Linked DNA regions of Anolis sagrei. The protein of the gene in region 1 binds, or shares a complex with, the protein of each later gene. Links are inferred from orthologs where the notes say so. Each region holds a gene or a part of one and is shown on either strand. Other genes may lie near its edges.

What was found.
Region 2: TERT (region 1) and NOP10 share a complex: the UniProt entries of both Homo sapiens proteins name them as parts of the telomerase holoenzyme complex. The link is inferred for Anolis sagrei from reciprocal best matches to the Homo sapiens genes TERT and NOP10.

Annotation. Positions count from the first base shown.
Region 1 is NC_090024.1:105,809,665-105,818,269, reverse strand, and holds the start of TERT (telomerase reverse transcriptase), read left to right. Parts: upstream 1-5,022; 5' UTR 5,023-5,023; coding exon 5,024-5,245; intron 5,246-7,750; coding exon 7,751-8,605. UniProt on the Homo sapiens protein: Telomerase is a ribonucleoprotein enzyme essential for the replication of chromosome termini in most eukaryotes. Active in progenitor and cancer cells. Inactive, or very low activity, in normal somatic cells.
Region 2 is NC_090026.1:13,100,687-13,108,610, reverse strand, and holds the start of NOP10 (H/ACA ribonucleoprotein complex subunit 3), read left to right. Parts: upstream 1-4,370; 5' UTR 4,371-4,475; coding exon 4,476-4,529; intron 4,530-7,924. UniProt on the Homo sapiens protein: Required for ribosome biogenesis and telomere maintenance. Part of the H/ACA small nucleolar ribonucleoprotein (H/ACA snoRNP) complex, which catalyzes pseudouridylation of rRNA.

The sequences.
Region 1 (8,605 bases):
TCGAACAGAGCTGCAATGCTATCTGTCCTATATTGAGGTAAATGCCCGCTGAATTCTGTGGGATTTTTATTACTGGACAGAAATGTATGTATCTGCAGTTTTAGTCCCTTGGTATGAGCTCCTTGAGCACTGCATTGCAAACATAGGTCTTTTGTGCATGTCAGTAAGGGATCTCTCTGTGCATGTAGGACCACTTGCCCACCCCACTGGATGGGGGCTTAGGGGTGCCATCTTGTGCCCAATTATGCATGCTTAAGCCCATTGACGTGAATGAGACTTGAGCATGCTTTATGGTGATCCTTGTTGCCAAAAGAATTTTGCATTTAATACCACTGAATGCACATGCATGTTTTCCCCATTAATAACACCCCGAAATCCACTTATGGTTAGCATCAGGTGGCTTGTTGTGGGTTTTTAGGGTAGATTACTAATGGGTTGGAACTCAACTAAGTAGTTAAGTCCTAGTCCCATTCAAGGGAATGGAAGAAACTAATTAATTTGTCAGTGGAACCAAAGTGTGACAAATCTAATATGCAGTGTCATGTTCCTAGTATTTTTTTAAATGACAATGTTGGCACCCAAATACTTGATTTTTTTTCCTACTACCTTTATTCTATAAAGCAAGGCTTAAATTAATGTACTGAGTGGGTTTGGCCATGATCTATCCAGTGGAATACTTCTAGGTCCAAAAAAAAAAAAAAATCCTGGCAGAAATACTAATATCCCAGGTTTCTTTGTCTGGTTGGTGTATCAAAGTACAGAGGATCCATGCTTAGCGGAATAATTTGCAGCACAGTTATTATTTCCTTGTTTTGTTTTAAATCTTGAATGAAGAATGTAACATCTTATTGTCCTATCAAAGAAGAAAAGACCTGATTAGCTTCTTGTTGAGTCAGTGACCTTTGTTCCCTTCAGTCTGTGTACAAAATAAACGTTCATGCAGAGAGCCCAGGCTCTGATTATACTTCTGAAGATGTCTGTGGATTCAGTGTAAGGTTCCCATTTAATTTAGCAGTTGATTCAAGTTGAAGTTGAGAAATGATGCATTCTGATACATACATTTGATCCATTCTACAGTTATGAAGCTGCTGAGTTCTGGAAAATAGTCAAGAGAGATTCGCAAAAAAGTTTAGGTTATTTATTTTATTTATTTATCGTGTCATCAGCAACCATACCATTGTATTACAGTTCTAACAGAACAAAACAAACACACAGATTAAAAACAAAAACAAAACAAAAACACAGATTTTGCAAACTTGGTAGTTGGTTAAATGTCCTTTGACCAGTATCTGGCCACTTGGAGTGCCTCTGGTGTTGCCGCAAGAAGGTCCTCCATTGTGCATGTGGCAGGGCTCAGGGTGCATTGCAGCAGGTGGTCAGTGGTTTGTTCTTCTCCGCACTTGCATACCGTGGATTCCACCCTGTAGCCCCATTTCTTAAGATTGGCTCTGCTTCTCGTGGTGCCAGAGCGCAGTCTGTTCAGCGCCTTCCAAGTCGCCCAGTCTTCTGTGTGCCCAGGGGGGAGTCTCTCATCTGGTATCACCCATGGATTGAGGTGCTGGGTTTGGGCCTGCCACCTTTGGACTCTCGCTTGCTGGGGTGTTGCAGCGAGTGCCTCTGTAGATCTAAGAAAACTATGTCTTGATTTAAATTGTTGACGTGCTGGCTGATACCCAAACGGGATGAGCTGGAGATGTCTCTGCCTTGGTCCTTTCACTATTGGCTGCTACTTCCCGGCGGATGTCAGGTGGTGCAATACCTTCAGATTACGTGTCTTGACCCCACACTATGTGACCTTTTCCCAATTTCATTTCATCTATGAAGCAGATCTAGGCAAGTTGCGATTACTCTCCTACCCCAATAATTTTGGTTTATGTGTAGGGAATATTGATGATAATAATAATAATAATAATAATAATAATAATAACAATAATAACTTTATTTACATTCCACTCTTATCTCCCCAAAGGGACTCAGGGCAGATTCCAAACATAAAAGGCAAATGTTCAATGCCTGAATACAATACATCCATATTAACAAAATTTAAACAACCCAACATATAAACACGAATTATAACTTAACAACTAAAATTAAATAAAAGAAAAAAAACTGCCTGTTACGACAGACATAAGACAAAACATATAGCACGTGGAAAGATTACAAACCAGTGTGTTTACGATCCGAACCCCTTTCAAAGCCACGACTTATGCCGACTCCTTGAATTTCATAGGGTTTCTTCAGGTGGTTTTGCCACTTCCTTCCTCTGAAATAGTGCATTTGTTAACAGCCTCACATCCCTTCCTTAGCTTCTAAGATCAGATGGGATCTGGAGCAGCACTTCCCAAACTTTGGTCCTCCAAATATTTTGGACTTTGTGGTCCATAATTCCTGACAGCTGGCCAAGGTAGCTGGGACTTCTGGAAGTGGAAGTCCAAAATATCTAAAGGAGTAAGATTGGGAACCAACTGCTTTCAGGTATTTAGGTTCTTAGGGTCTCTATAATAAATGTATTCAATATGCGTATGTGTTTTTAACCATATAAAATCCAGATTATCAAATTTGAACTGGATTATTTGATTTGATAATCTGGATTATATGGCAGTGTAGGCCCTGCCTAGATTCTCCAACAAACTCTTTAACACTCCTCACTTTACTCCCTTTGCTTTCATCTTGTAATTCAATCTATTTTACCAAATGTATTTTAATTCAATCTAGTTTTCCTATGTTTTAATTTATTTTAGTTAACTGTTACAGGAGTTTTAGGATAGTGGTTAGTGTCTATTTTTGGTTTTTTTTTTTGTCTTTTATTGTTGGTTTGGTCAGTGGACTAATCAATAAACAGGGTTATCTGTCTATCATAGGGGCTCCTTGAGTGACTCTATGACCTTTTGCCCATTCATTCCTCTGAGACCCCTTCTACGCTGCCATATATTCCATGATCTGATCCCAGATGATCTGATTTAAACTGGATTATGAGTCTCTACTGCCAGATAATTTGGGATAAAATAATCTGGGATCACATCCTGGGATATAGGGGCAGTGTGGAAGGGACCCGAGGCTGGATCTACACTGCCATATAAATCCAGATTATCTGTTTTGAACTGGATTATATGCGTATATACTGCCATATAATCCAGTTCAAAAAGATGATCTGTATTTTATATAGCAGTATAGAAGGGGCCTCATATAATCCAGTTCAGAGCATTTAATCTGGATTATCTGTTTTTGATAACATGGATTATATGGCAATGTAAAAGGGCCCTAAGTATTTTTGTATTTTTAAGGACTCTGCTATTTGGGGGGAATTCCCAAATTTAGGACACTTCTACATTGCCATATAATCCAGATTATATAAAAAAAGTAATCCAGACTACATTCTTTGAACTGGATTATATGAGGCCTGCTGAAAGGGCCTCATATAATGAGGCCTGCTGAAAGGGCCTCTCTTTTCACATTCTCAGAAGTCCCCTTCAGGCTTGGAATGGCGGCATTCAACCCATGAGTTGAATCTCCCTGAAAACAGCTTTATTAGCTGCCAGCAAAAGCAAATGACAGCAATTGTGCTCAAAACAAAATCTGGCTACTAGTATTAAAAACTCTAAAATCATAACAGGTGGGAACCCCAGGTTTCAGCGGTGACCAGGGGAGCATTTGCACAGCTAAAGCTTGTGCGCCAGCTGCGCCCATACCTTGGGAAGTCTGACTTGGCCACGGTAGTCCATGCTCTGGTTACATCCCGTTTAGACTACTGCAACGCTCTCTACGTGGGGTTGCCTTTGAAGACAGCTCGGAAGCTCCAACTAGTCCAACGCTCGGCAGCCATGATTTTAACAGGAGCGGAGCGCAGGGAGCATACAACCCCCCTGTTGCGCCAACTCCACTGGCTACCAATCTGCTACCGGGCTGAATTCAAAGTGCTGGCGTTGGCCTTTAAAGCCCTAAACGGTTCCGGCCCTAGCTACCTATCTGACCGCATCTCTGCCTATGAACCCACGAGGAGTTTGAGATCTTCCGGGGAGGTGGGCTCTCCGGGGAGGTGGGCTCTTCCGGGGAGGGCTCTTCCGGGGAGGTGGGCTCTCGATCCCACCTGCTTCTCAAGCTCGGCTGGCGGGGACGAGAGATAGGGCCTTCTCGGTGGTGGCTCCTTGGCTGTGGAACGCCCTTCCTACGGACATTAGACTAGCACCATCTCTAATGGTATTCCGCAAAAAGGTGAAGACCTGGATGTTTGTGCAGGCGTTTGAGTAATTTAGTGCAATCTGGTAATGGAACATAGGAATGGAACAATGGACGACGAACCTGGACTACGCTTGGATGATGAGAAGATTGGGTACGGTTGTTTTTTGTAATAATTGTGCATTGTAATTGCTTATTGGTAATTTATGGATAATGTGTTAAGTCAATTGTTATATGTTGTATGGAACCACTGCTGTTTCTACTGTTTTTACTGTTTGTGAACCGCCGTGAGTCGCCTTCGGGCTTGAGATACAGCAGTATATAAGCAAAGTAAATAAATAATAATAATAATAATAACAGTAAATGGAGAACAACTTTCAAAAACAGGAGAACTCCAGACAAGAAACCATCAGGGACAGCTAATCACCTTTCAACAAAGGATTCCCCCAGGCAGTAAGAAGCTACACCTTGAAAACTCCTGGGCTAATCAATGCTAATCAAGGTGACCAATTGAAACATTCACACCAAATTTCCAAAATGAAGAAAACCAGAGACATTGGAATGGTGGGCAGAATGTGTATCCCATATATCTGTCACTTTCACTCATACCTGACACTGAGATTGCTGGTAAATAAAAGAAAAGAAATCGCTCTGAAGTAGGAGCAGAAAGGATGCTGCCCCTTTAAGGATTGCTGGACTGCGCCCCTCGGCATCCCTCACCCTTGCATATGCGGGCGTCGTACTTCAATGACTCCTGCCTGAAGAAAACAGAGGGCGCCGCGTTTCCCGCGCTTTTTCCAAGCCCGAGAGGGGGCGGGGCTTAGAGGGGGCGGGGCTTGGCCAGGCCATGGGGCGCCCGCGGGTGTGCAGGCTGCTGCGGGGCTGCTTCGAGGAGGTGCTGCCCTTGGAGGCCTTCGTGAGGCGCCTCCAGGAGAAGGAGGCCGAAGCCTCGGGGGCCCCGCTGGTCCAGGAGGGGGATCCCAAGTGCTTCCGAGTGCTGGTGGAGCGCTGCCTGGTGGGCAGGCCCCGCGGGGGGAAGGCGCCCCCGCCTCGCTTGAGCTTCCAGCAGGTAAACAGCCCTCTCCAGGCCCGCCCCTTGCCGTGGGCGCTTCTCCTCAGCACTGCCTGGGGAGACACACAGGGACCTCTCCCGCAAAAATACTCCATAGTATGCACACTGAGGCGCTTATAACTTGCCCTGGAAGGCTGCTGGCTCCTTCAGGGGAGCACAAGCTGCCCCCAAACATTTTAATACAAGCGCGTTTTCTGAGTTGTATGGGCAGTGGGGACATCCAGCTGCCAACCCTGGATGGCGAGGCACTACGTCCATCATCATTGGTAAAGAGTCTGGGAGTCCTTTTGGACCCTCTGCTGACGATGGAGGCCCAGGTATCCACCGTTAGCAGAACTGCCTTCTTTCACCTACGGCAGGCTAGACGGCTGGCCCCTTACCTGTCCAGCGACGACCTAGCTACGGTGATCCAGGCCACGGTCATCTCAAGACTGGACTACTGTAACGCCCTCTACATTGGCCTTCCTCTGTCGGTGATCCGGAAGCTCAAGTTGGTACAAAATGCAGCTGCTCAGCTTCTTGCGGGAACTCCGATGAGATGCCACATAACACCAAACTCACAACAGCTGCATTGGTTACCAATTGAGCACCGGATCACTTTCAAAGTGATGGTACTCACCTTTAAGGCCTTGCATGGTTTGGGGCCGATGTACCTCACCCCCTACCAACCCCAGAGATCCCTCTGTTCTGAGGACCAAGATCTATTGGAAGTCCCCAGTGTCAAGACCTTGTGTCTAACAGCAACCAGAAGCAGAGCCTTCACAGCAGTGGCACCATCGCTCTGGAATACTCTGCCACCCGAAGTCCGTGCCTTGTGGGACTTATCAGTTTTCCACAGGGCATGCAAGACATACCTATTTCGACAGGCCTTTGATTTTTGATATTGCCGTTTTTAAATTGTTTTAAACTGCTTTTAAATTTTGTTAGATTTTAACTATTCTTGTAAACTGCTCCGAGGCCCAGGGGAGTGGCGGCATATAAGTTTAAATAATAAATAAATAAGCATTCTCTCCTGACATTTCGCCCAGGTATCCTCAGAGGTTGTGAGGTCTGTTGGAAACTAGGCAAGTGGGGTTTATTACAGACTAGCTTGGGGACCCTGCGTGTCCTGGGTTATTTGAGAAAGTAATTGTGTATCAAGCTTGGTCTTTATCAGTTATTTATATACAGTGGTTTCAGGAAGTTAGTGAAGGTACTGCGAGTCCCATCATCTGTGGTCCATCCTCCTCCAAACTACACCAGGATGGAGGCTCTGTGAGCCAAGTTTGGTCTTCATCAGTCACAGGATGAGGGTCGCAGTGGTTTCAGTGAGTAAAGGTACTGCAAGGCCCATCATCCATGGTCCATTCCCCCTTAGAACTGCATCAGGATGTAGAGTGGGTCATGAGTACTCTGTGTGCCAAGTTTGGGCCTGGTTTGTGATTTGTAGAAAAGACTTAAAAAGCCACAAAATAAAAATTACAATGCATGTGCAAAACATGCAAACACACATATACACAAATGTTTTAAAAAAAGGTTGTCCCCTGACATTAAGTCCAGTCATGTCTGACTCTGGGGTGTAGTGCTCATCTCCATTTCTAAGCCAAAGAACCAGCGTTGTCCATAGACACCTCCAAGGTCATGTGGCCAGCATGACCGCATGGAGCACCGTTATCTTCCCGCTGGAGCGGTACCTATTGATCTACTCACATTTGCATGTTTTCGAACTGCTAGGTTGGCAGAAGCTAGGGCTGACAGTGGAAGCTCACACCGCTCCCTGGAATCGAACCTGCGATTTTTTGGTCAACAAGCTCAGCAGCTCAGTGTTTTAACCCATTGCACCACCGGGGACATACACACAAAATACATATACACAGACTGGACCACAGTAACGCGTGGTAGGGGACGGCTAGTAACATAATAAAATTCAACAGAAAGGGCAGGTCAAATGCACGAGATAAGATGTTAAAAAGTTGAAACCCTGGGTGAGATAGGAATAAAAGTATATTTATGAGGGAGGAGTCAGGGGGGCAGTGGGGTTTGGCTTTATTAAGGACAGGTTGACAGTGCATCATGAGGACAATTGTAGATGGAAACAAACAAAATGGGTTGAACGGTCACTCTCCAAGGGCACATAGGAATAGCCAAGTTTTTAGATCTTTCTTAAAGAAGCTACTCTGTTGGAGGCTTTTAAACAGGCTGGATGGCCATCTGTCAGGGGTACTTTGATTGTACATTTCCTGCATAGCAGGAGGTTGGACTAGATGTCCCTTTGGAGAGATGGAGGTGGGGTACAAAAATAAAGTTGTTATTATTTGTGGTCTACTGGACTGCAGATCCCATCAGTCCCAACCAGCCTAGGCAAAAGCAAGGGAGGATGGGAGCTGCAGCCCGACATCATGTTGTGGGCCACACTTGCAATACATAATTTAGGACCTGTGCCCCAAAATTTTAATGCCAATCCCGCGAAATCCTAAATGACAATGAATGAAATATAGTCATAACGTTTTTGTTCACTTCCAGATTTCTAGTCAGCAAGATGTCGTTGCAAGAGTCGTTCAGCGAATCTGTGAAAAGAACAAAAGGAATGTCTTGGCCTTTGGCTATTCTCTATTGGATGAAAACCATCTCCCGTTGCCCGGCATGCCAAATGTCTACAGCTACTTTACCAATTATACCACAGAAACCATTTTTCAGAGTATTCTCTGGGAGTTGATTCTGAACAGAGTTGGGGATGATGTCTTCATGTATATATTGGAGCACTGCTCTCTCTTTATGTTAGTGCCACCTAGTTGTTGTTACCAAATCTGTGGGCAGCCCATTTATGAAATTGCATTCAAGGATGCATCTCCCTCTCCTGAATTCCTCAGGCAGAGGTATCCTGGGCCAAAACACAGCGCCTTGACTGGTTACCTGCAAAGAAGGAGGTTTTCATCTTATAAGCAATGCCCAGCAAGAGGAAACTGGAAGGAGTTGCATCCTAGAAGAAAATTAGGAAGGAAAGCAATATATGTTTTGGAGGGCAGTTATCCACAATCTTCAGTGGTTCAAACAGTCAAGCAGAATTTTACAGCGAGTGCCAGCGAATGCCCAGAAAGCAGGCAAAAGGCCAGTGAGCGTACATCTTCAACACGATCTCTGAAAAGAAAATGGAAAGGCCGTTGTGAACTGAGCACAAAAAGAATAAAAATCATGCAAATAGAGGACAGGCTACAGAAAGAAATGGGAAACCCAGTTCCCACTCAAAGCAAACATCCATTGAGCCTAGATGGTGATGGTGTCACATCTCAAAGCTCCACAAGCTCCTGCTTGGCGGATGGGCTAACTCCTGTGCCACACAGTAATGAATATGGAGAACAGACCTCTGCTGTACCAGAT
Region 2 (7,924 bases), on another chromosome or scaffold:
AAGGAAAGAAGCTGGGGCCTGTCCTTGTACCGCCTGAAATTCTGATGTGAGAACGTTGGCAAAAAAACAAATTGGGGAAGAGGGATCTCTAGAGGATTCACAACACCACCATTTGGTTTCTAAGAAGATCCCACATTGTTGACGTGACTCTAAGGGCAAGGGTTGGATGATAACCATTCCAGAACTTGGACATCTTGAGAGTTCCATTGAAGGGAGGAAGTTAAAGTTTTTCTACAGACCTTTCCATGGTTTCTAGCTTCATACTGTTTTTTGAGCGCATACTATGGGAGATCATGAATTGGGTGAGTACATCTTACCACTATAATGAATGGGTGTTCCACTGGAGGTAAGCAGCATTCCCAAGTAGGACTTCCAACTTTTCTCCTGGGCTTTTAACAACTTGATGAGAGGAATAGATGATTGCTACAAAAAAGAAAAGGTCAGTAGATGATATATCCATACCATATTACATGTTATAGAGTGAGCCAAGGCACCCTTTCTGGGCATTGTTGGTTCTCCCTTTGACCGTGAAGATGTGTGGTGCATCTACTTGCTCTAAAACATGCCAGAATTACCTACCTCCCCTGATATCACGTCTCCCCAAAAATGGTGCCAAAGGTGACATGTGTCCCAAATGTGGTCAAAGACAAAACAGCAAGGGGTTAGCTACAGGAGTTGTTTATGACCACAGACTTGACTCGTGGTGTCTGCTCTGACATCGAGCAACTCATTGTAGGCCCAGTGTTATGCCACTGGAGGGCGAGGTACATCTATATTACAAGTTTAAACCAAGTTTAACTCTCATGGTGAATGTAATTTTGTGGAGATCGTTGTTATGCACCTGCAAGTTGACTCCAGCTTATGGTGACTCTGTTCTAGGATTTATTCAAAGGGGTTTGCCAGTGCCTTCCTCTGAAGCTGAGAGAGTGTGTCTTGCCAAGATCACAAACCGACTGAGAGAGGATTCCAATGGTGGTCTCTCCTTCCAACAGTAATATTATTTTAAATGGAAACATCTGGGAAACATTTAGAATAGGTTGCAGCAGTTTGCTTTAGCCTGAGCCCCTTCTACACTGCCATACCATCCAATTCAAAGCAGGTAATCTTGATTTTATATGGTAACACAGAAGGTGCCTTTGTCTATTGGGAAAGATTCTGTCTTTTCCTTTCCCACTTCTCAGGCCCCTTCTACATTGCAATATAACTTCCAGATTATCTGATTTGATAATCTGGATTATATGGCAGTGTAGAAGGGGCCAGAGTTATCTGGCAGTGTACTCTCACATAATCCAGTTCAAATTAGATAATCTGGATTATATGGCAGTGTAGAAGGGGCCTCAGTTAACTGAACGCAAACTATTTTTGACCTTTGAGCTCTCTTTGCATCAATTGAAGTAAGATGAAGACAAAGAGGGAAGAGAAAATGGGACATTTCAGAAGCTACTGGAATGACTGTGGATTAATTGGGGCCCCTTCTACACTGCCATATAAAATCCAGATTATCTGCTTTGAACTGGATTATGTGGCAGTGTAGACTCATATAATCACATTCAAAGCAGATAATGTGGATTATCTGATCTGATAATCTGAATTATATGGTAGTATAGAATGGGCCTGGGATTGTTCCTTCCAAATCAGGATAGTTTCAGAATATGGAATTGCACAAGTATATATTTTTTAAAGTATTAAGAAAAAGAAATGTCAAAAGCAAGCATTTTATAAAATTTTACTGTATTCTGTACTTTCTGTACCTGTAGGCCAAACTACAAACATTGAAGTTAAATGGTTAATGGATTTGTTCATATTTATTTGTTTACACTATTTATATTCTGCCCTTCTTACCCCACAGGGGACTCAGGGCAGATTACAATGTACACATTCAATACCAAAGACACACAACAGATATAGACAGACAGTCAGAGGCGATTTAACTTTTTCTGGTCACCAGGGGAGCTGTCTCTTTCATCGTCCATCTGCGACACTGATGAAGTACTTCCGCATTCCCCGCATGCTTTTGCTGGAGTGCTTTGCTGGAGTGTTTTTTATGGCCTTGTACATTTTGTTAAATTTGCCTCCACACACATAGGTGGTACCTATTTTTTCTACTTGACAGATGCAACTGTCTTTCGGGTTGCAAAGGTCAACAACAAGCTACACAATTGGTCGGAAGCTCACTCCGACTCAGGCTGGCTTCGAACTCATGACCTTGTCATCAGAAGTGATCTTAATGCAGCTGACACTCAAACACTGTGCCACAGTCCCGGTGCAGTGTCTTATTTGCTTGCTTTCTTTTCTCTATCCACTGTTTGGGACAACAAGCTGCGTCAAATAGAAACATGACCTGAGTAGATTTAGACAGAAAAAAGATATGTAATTTATATATAAATATGAAAAGTTTGTTTCTCCACACCCATCATGCAAAAAAAAAAAAAAAATCCTTAGGGATCTTCTAGACAAGAAAGAAATACAGTAGAGTCTTCCTTACCTAACATAAACGGGCCAGCAGAACGTCGGATAAGCGAAAATGTTGGATAATAAGGAGGAATTAAGGAAAAGCCTATTAAATGTCAAATTACAGTCAGAAGTCAGATTCAAAAAAGTTATAGTAGGAAAGTATCCATTCTACACAACCAATCAGAATGAGAGCAGAAAGAGGGAACAAAATAAATACATTCCAAACTGTCATTCAGGAGACATGGTTGAAAGGGAAGTCCCTCATCCTATACTAAACTAAGTGTTCCTCGTTGAGGACTTGAGACTTGGGCAGTGTGAGGCTGAATTCCAACACTGAGAATATAACTGTGTAAGAAATGTGTTTTCGCCATACACAGCATTGAGCCATAGCAGTTAAAGTGGTGTCAAACTACATTCATTCTACAGTATAGAGATGCACCCTAAGCTTGACTTGCCAAAAAAAAAAAACAAAGTCAAACTACGAGGGTTGAATGAAAAGTAATGCTTCCATCTTCGTAAGTCCTCAACAGATGGCAGTACTGGTATGCAGCAGGTACTGGCTTGTTCAGTAGATGATCCTCTACAGTTCCATTTTGGCGGGAAGCTTTAGCATTGAGCGGTTGTGTTGTTAAAGTGCGAAGTATGGAACCCTGCGCAGACAGTCGGTCAATGCGACTTAAGCAACGTGCAGTCATTGAATTCTTGACAGCAGAAGGTGCTACCCCAAAGGAGATTCCATAGAGAATGCAAGCTGTTTATGGTGGTTGTGTTGATGTGAGTACTGTGCATCATTGGGCAAGTAAGTTCAAAGATGTTGAGGTGGGAACATCTGACTTGCGTGACAAAGAGTTGGACGTCCTGTGACAGCAACCACCGAGTTTCACAAGCAAAAGGTTGAGATTGATTCAGGACGATCGCCGTATCACTCAGAGAGAAATTTCAAGCATAATCGCCATTTCACTAGACCGTGTGGATCACATTATTGCTTTGCTTGGCTATCGGAAGATCTGTGCATGATGGGTACCGGGATGAGAGAAGTGTGAGATGCTGGTTGCGGAAACGAGTGTCGACTTCTTCCGTGACAGTGTCAGAAAACTTGTCCATCGTTGGCAGAAATGTATCCAATGGTCTGGTGATTCTGTGGAAAAGTGAATAGTGGTAGTTAAAGAGCACATTCTAAGGATTATTTATGCGTTTCATAGAATGATAGAATCAAAGAGTTGGAAGAGACCTCATGGGCCATCCAGTCCAACCCCTGCCAAGAAGCAGGAATATTGCATTCAAATCACCCCTGACAGATGGCCATCCAGCCTCTGTTTAAAAGCTTCCAAAGAAGGAGCCTCCACCACACTCCGGGGCAGAGAGTTCCACTGCTGAACGGCTCTCACAGTCAGGAAGTTCTTCCTCATGTTCAGATGGAATCTCCTCTCTTGTAGTTTGAAGCCATTGTTTCTTGTCCTAGTCTCCAGGGCAGCAGAAAACAAGCTTGCTCCCTCCTCCCTGTGGCTTCCTCTCACATATTTATACATGGCTATCATATCTCCTCTCAGCCTTCTCTTCTTCAGGCTAAACATGCCCAGCTCCTTAAGCCGCTCCTCATAGGAGCCAAGCAACGAAGGTGGAGGCATTACTTTTCATTCAACCCTCCTACATTATTTCCAAAACAATTGGAAAACTTATTTAAAAACTGTTGAAAGGATTAGATGATGGGAGAATAAAAGGAATGCTAGATGAAAGACAGAAAGATGATCCTTTCAACAGGTAGAGAAACAGATTCCTTTTGCACGAGTGCATGTTTACAGTAGGAAAACTACAAATCCCAGCAGGCATTGGGCAAGAAAGGCGAAAGACTACAGCTCCCAGAATGCTCAGGGAAGTTTTCTTTTGTGCCTGTTCATTGGAGGATGGGAGGAAGAGGTGGAGTTTGTTTGCACGTGTTTTGCAGGAAGAGAAGGGAAAGGGAAATCGGTTTGGAATCCGAATCCTGTTGATAAGAATCGTTTGCTCCGGATTTTGCAGCTATGTTCCTGCAATTCTACTTGGATGAGCGAGGGGACAGGGTTTATACCCTCAAGGTAAGGGTTTTACATCCCTGGGGGTGTGTGAATGTTTGATTCTGGGTGCATCTGCACTGTGGAATTAATGCAGTTTGATACCACTTTAACTGCTATGGCTCAATGCTAGGAGTTGGAGTTGTTAGACTTCTATGCCAAAGAGTGCTGTTGTCTCACTAAACTAAGACTCCCAAGCATGGGCAAACTTGGGCCCTCCAGGTGTTTTGGACTTCAACTCCCACAATTCCTAGCAGCCGATAGGCTGCTAGGAATTGTGGGAGTTGAAGTCCAAAACACCTGGAGGGCCCAAGTTTGCCTATGCCAGTTCTATATCATTATACCACAGTCAGCCCTCCATATCCACAAATTTTGCATCCAAGGATTCAGCCTTTCACAGCTTGAAAATATTGCAAAATATCCAGAAAACAAAGCTTATTATTTGCCATTTTGCATATGGTAATTTCCAGTATAATTTAACCTTGAGTCACACCAACACAGCTGTATAAAATCCATATTGAACTGGATTATATGGCAGCGTGGACTCTGATAACCCCGTTTAAAGCCAATATTGTGTATCATCTGCCTTGATATTCTGGGTTATATAGCTGTGTGGAAGGACACCTAGAGATTTTAATTAAATCAGTAAATTATCAAATCCACAAATGTGGAAGGACAACTTGGAGTAAATCTTAAAGGCAAACGAAATCCATAGCTATAGGGAAACCATCAGAATGCCTCATTGTTGGGACTGTCTTCTATGGCAAATTCTCTCATGGCTAAACATTCCTGACTGTGAGAGCCGTTCAGCAGTGGAACTCTCTGCCCCGGAGCATGTTGGAGGCTCCTTTTTTGGAAGCTTTTAAAGAGAGGCTGGATGGCCATCTGTCAGGGGTGATTTTAATGCAATATTCCTGCTTCTTGGCAGGGGGTTGGACTGGATGGCCCATGAGGTCTCTTCCAACTCTTTGATTCTATGATTCTGTGATTTACTTTACTTCTAGGATCCTCCAAGCCAATGAGTGGACAGGTTTAAACGAGTCCATTGAGTCTGTAGCAATGGCAGGCTTACACCAATTCAGCGCCGTAATTGAATAGTTCCGATGTTTCAAAGATCAGATAATTCCCAGGTTCATCTATAAAAACACAATGGCTTGCCTTGTGTAGTACGTCCTGGGTTCCAAGTTTGCATGAAGTCTGTAAATAAATAGTTCAGATGGTTCAGCTGTCAGTTAAGGTAAAAGTTTTCCCCTGACATTAAATCCAGTTGTGTCCAACTCTGAGGGTTGGTGCTCATCTCAATTTCTAAGCCGAAGAGCCGGCATTGTCCATAGACATAGGGGTGTGGAGATGAGCACCACACCCCAAGGTCATGTGGCCGGAATGACTGCATGGAGTGCTGTTACCTTCCCGCAGAAGTGGTACCTATTTATTTATTTATATTTATCGTGTCAGGAATGAACCAAAACAGTTGTATTGCATTAAAAACAAACAAACAAAACACAAAGTTTGCAAGCTTGGTAGTTGTTTAAATGTCCTTTGATCAGTAGCTGACCTCTGGTGTTGCTGGAGGAAGGTCCTCCATTGTGCATGTGGCAGGGCTCAGGTTGCATTGCAGTAGGTGGTCTGTGGTTTGCTCTTCTACACACTCGCATGTGGTGGAGTCCACTTTGTGGCCCCATTTCTTAAGGTTGGCTCTGCATCTCATGGTGCCAGAGCGCAGTCTGATCAGCACCTTCCAAGTCGCCCAGTTTTCTGTGTGCCCAGGGGGGAGTCTCTCATTTGGTACCAGACATTGATTGAGGCTCTGGGTTTGAGCCTGCCGCTTTTGGACTCTCGCTTGCTGAGGTGTTCCAGCAAGTGTTTCTGCAGATCTTAGAAAACTATTTCTTTATTTAAGTCATTGGCATGCTGGCTGATACCCAAACAGGGGGTGGACCGGAGATGTCACTGCCTTAGTCCTTTCACTATTGGTTGCTACTCCCCGACGGATGTCAGGTGGTGCAATACCGGCTACACAGTGTAATTTCTCCAGTGGTGTAAGGAGCAGACACCCCATGATAATGAGCATGTCTCATTAAGAGCCGCATCCAATGGTGAGATGTGTTCCACACTGGGCATGCATACTCAGCAACAGAATAGCAAAGCACAAGGGCAGATGTCTTCACTGTATCTAGTTGTGATACCCAGGTACCAATTGATCTACTCACATTTGCATGTTTTCAACTGCTAGATAGGCAGAAGCTAGGGCTAACAGCAGGAGCTCACCCTGCTCAAACCGGCGTCCTTTTAATCAGCAAGTTCAGCAGCTCAACGGTTTAACCCACTGTGCCAGCTGTCGGTTATGCACCAATAAAAACACAATAAAGTTACTATCACACTTTATTGCTGAAATAGAGGGAAATTGATGCACAGAGTACAATGATTATAACAAAGAGCTTTGCAATATACACAGTGCAATAAATATTTGTGGAGCTTCCAGCAGCCAGTCAAAACTATCATTCTGAAGGCATTTAATTTTTTCATATTATTTTCAACCAATATTTATTTATTTATATATTTATTTACAGTATTTCTATACCGCTTTTCTCACTCCTAAGGGGACTCAAAGCGGTTTACACATAACTGGCAAAACTTCAATGCCATACATTGGACACTGACGTGATGCCAGTCCATAACAACCACAATAATAGAACAACAATTAAGCATAAATCATAATTAGACAGTACATAAGCAATCGTTAAAACAATAAATAATAAAAACAGTCTCGCCAGTCGTATTGTCATTCTAGTCCATGTCCTATAAACTCTACACACATCTAATCTACAAACATTAAAGAATGTTTTCAGTTCTCTGCTGAGCAGAAAAATTATTGCTAAAAATTTCTAGCAAAATGAAATTGTTCATGTCCTATAAAATACAGCATATACTAGCGTTGTACTTGCTCACATAATGTGATTAAATCATTGTCGTTTCTGAAGGTAATTCATGCACAGTACTGTTTTAACTGTGTTTGTTAATGTATTAATCTTAAGCAGTCTTAACCATTGTATAATTCACAGAAATCAATAATACACTTTAGCATAGAATATAATGTAGAATTACTTTATATGAGTTCTCCCTTACAATTAGTTCTGCCCCCTTATCTCACCCGGGGCTTTTTAAATCATTTTATGTACATGCGGCCCGCCCTCTGTCATTTTGTTATTATGTTTACTTCCTATGTTCTGTGTATATTGTTTTATATGCTTTGATGTTTTATTTTAATGTTATATTGTTTATTTTATTGCAATTTGTATTGTTATTTTGTAATTCTTGTTCGGGCTTGGCCCCATGTAAGCCGCTCCGATTCCCCATCGAGGAGATGGTGGCGGGGTATAAATAAAGATTATTATTATTCTTATTCTTATTTGTTCATA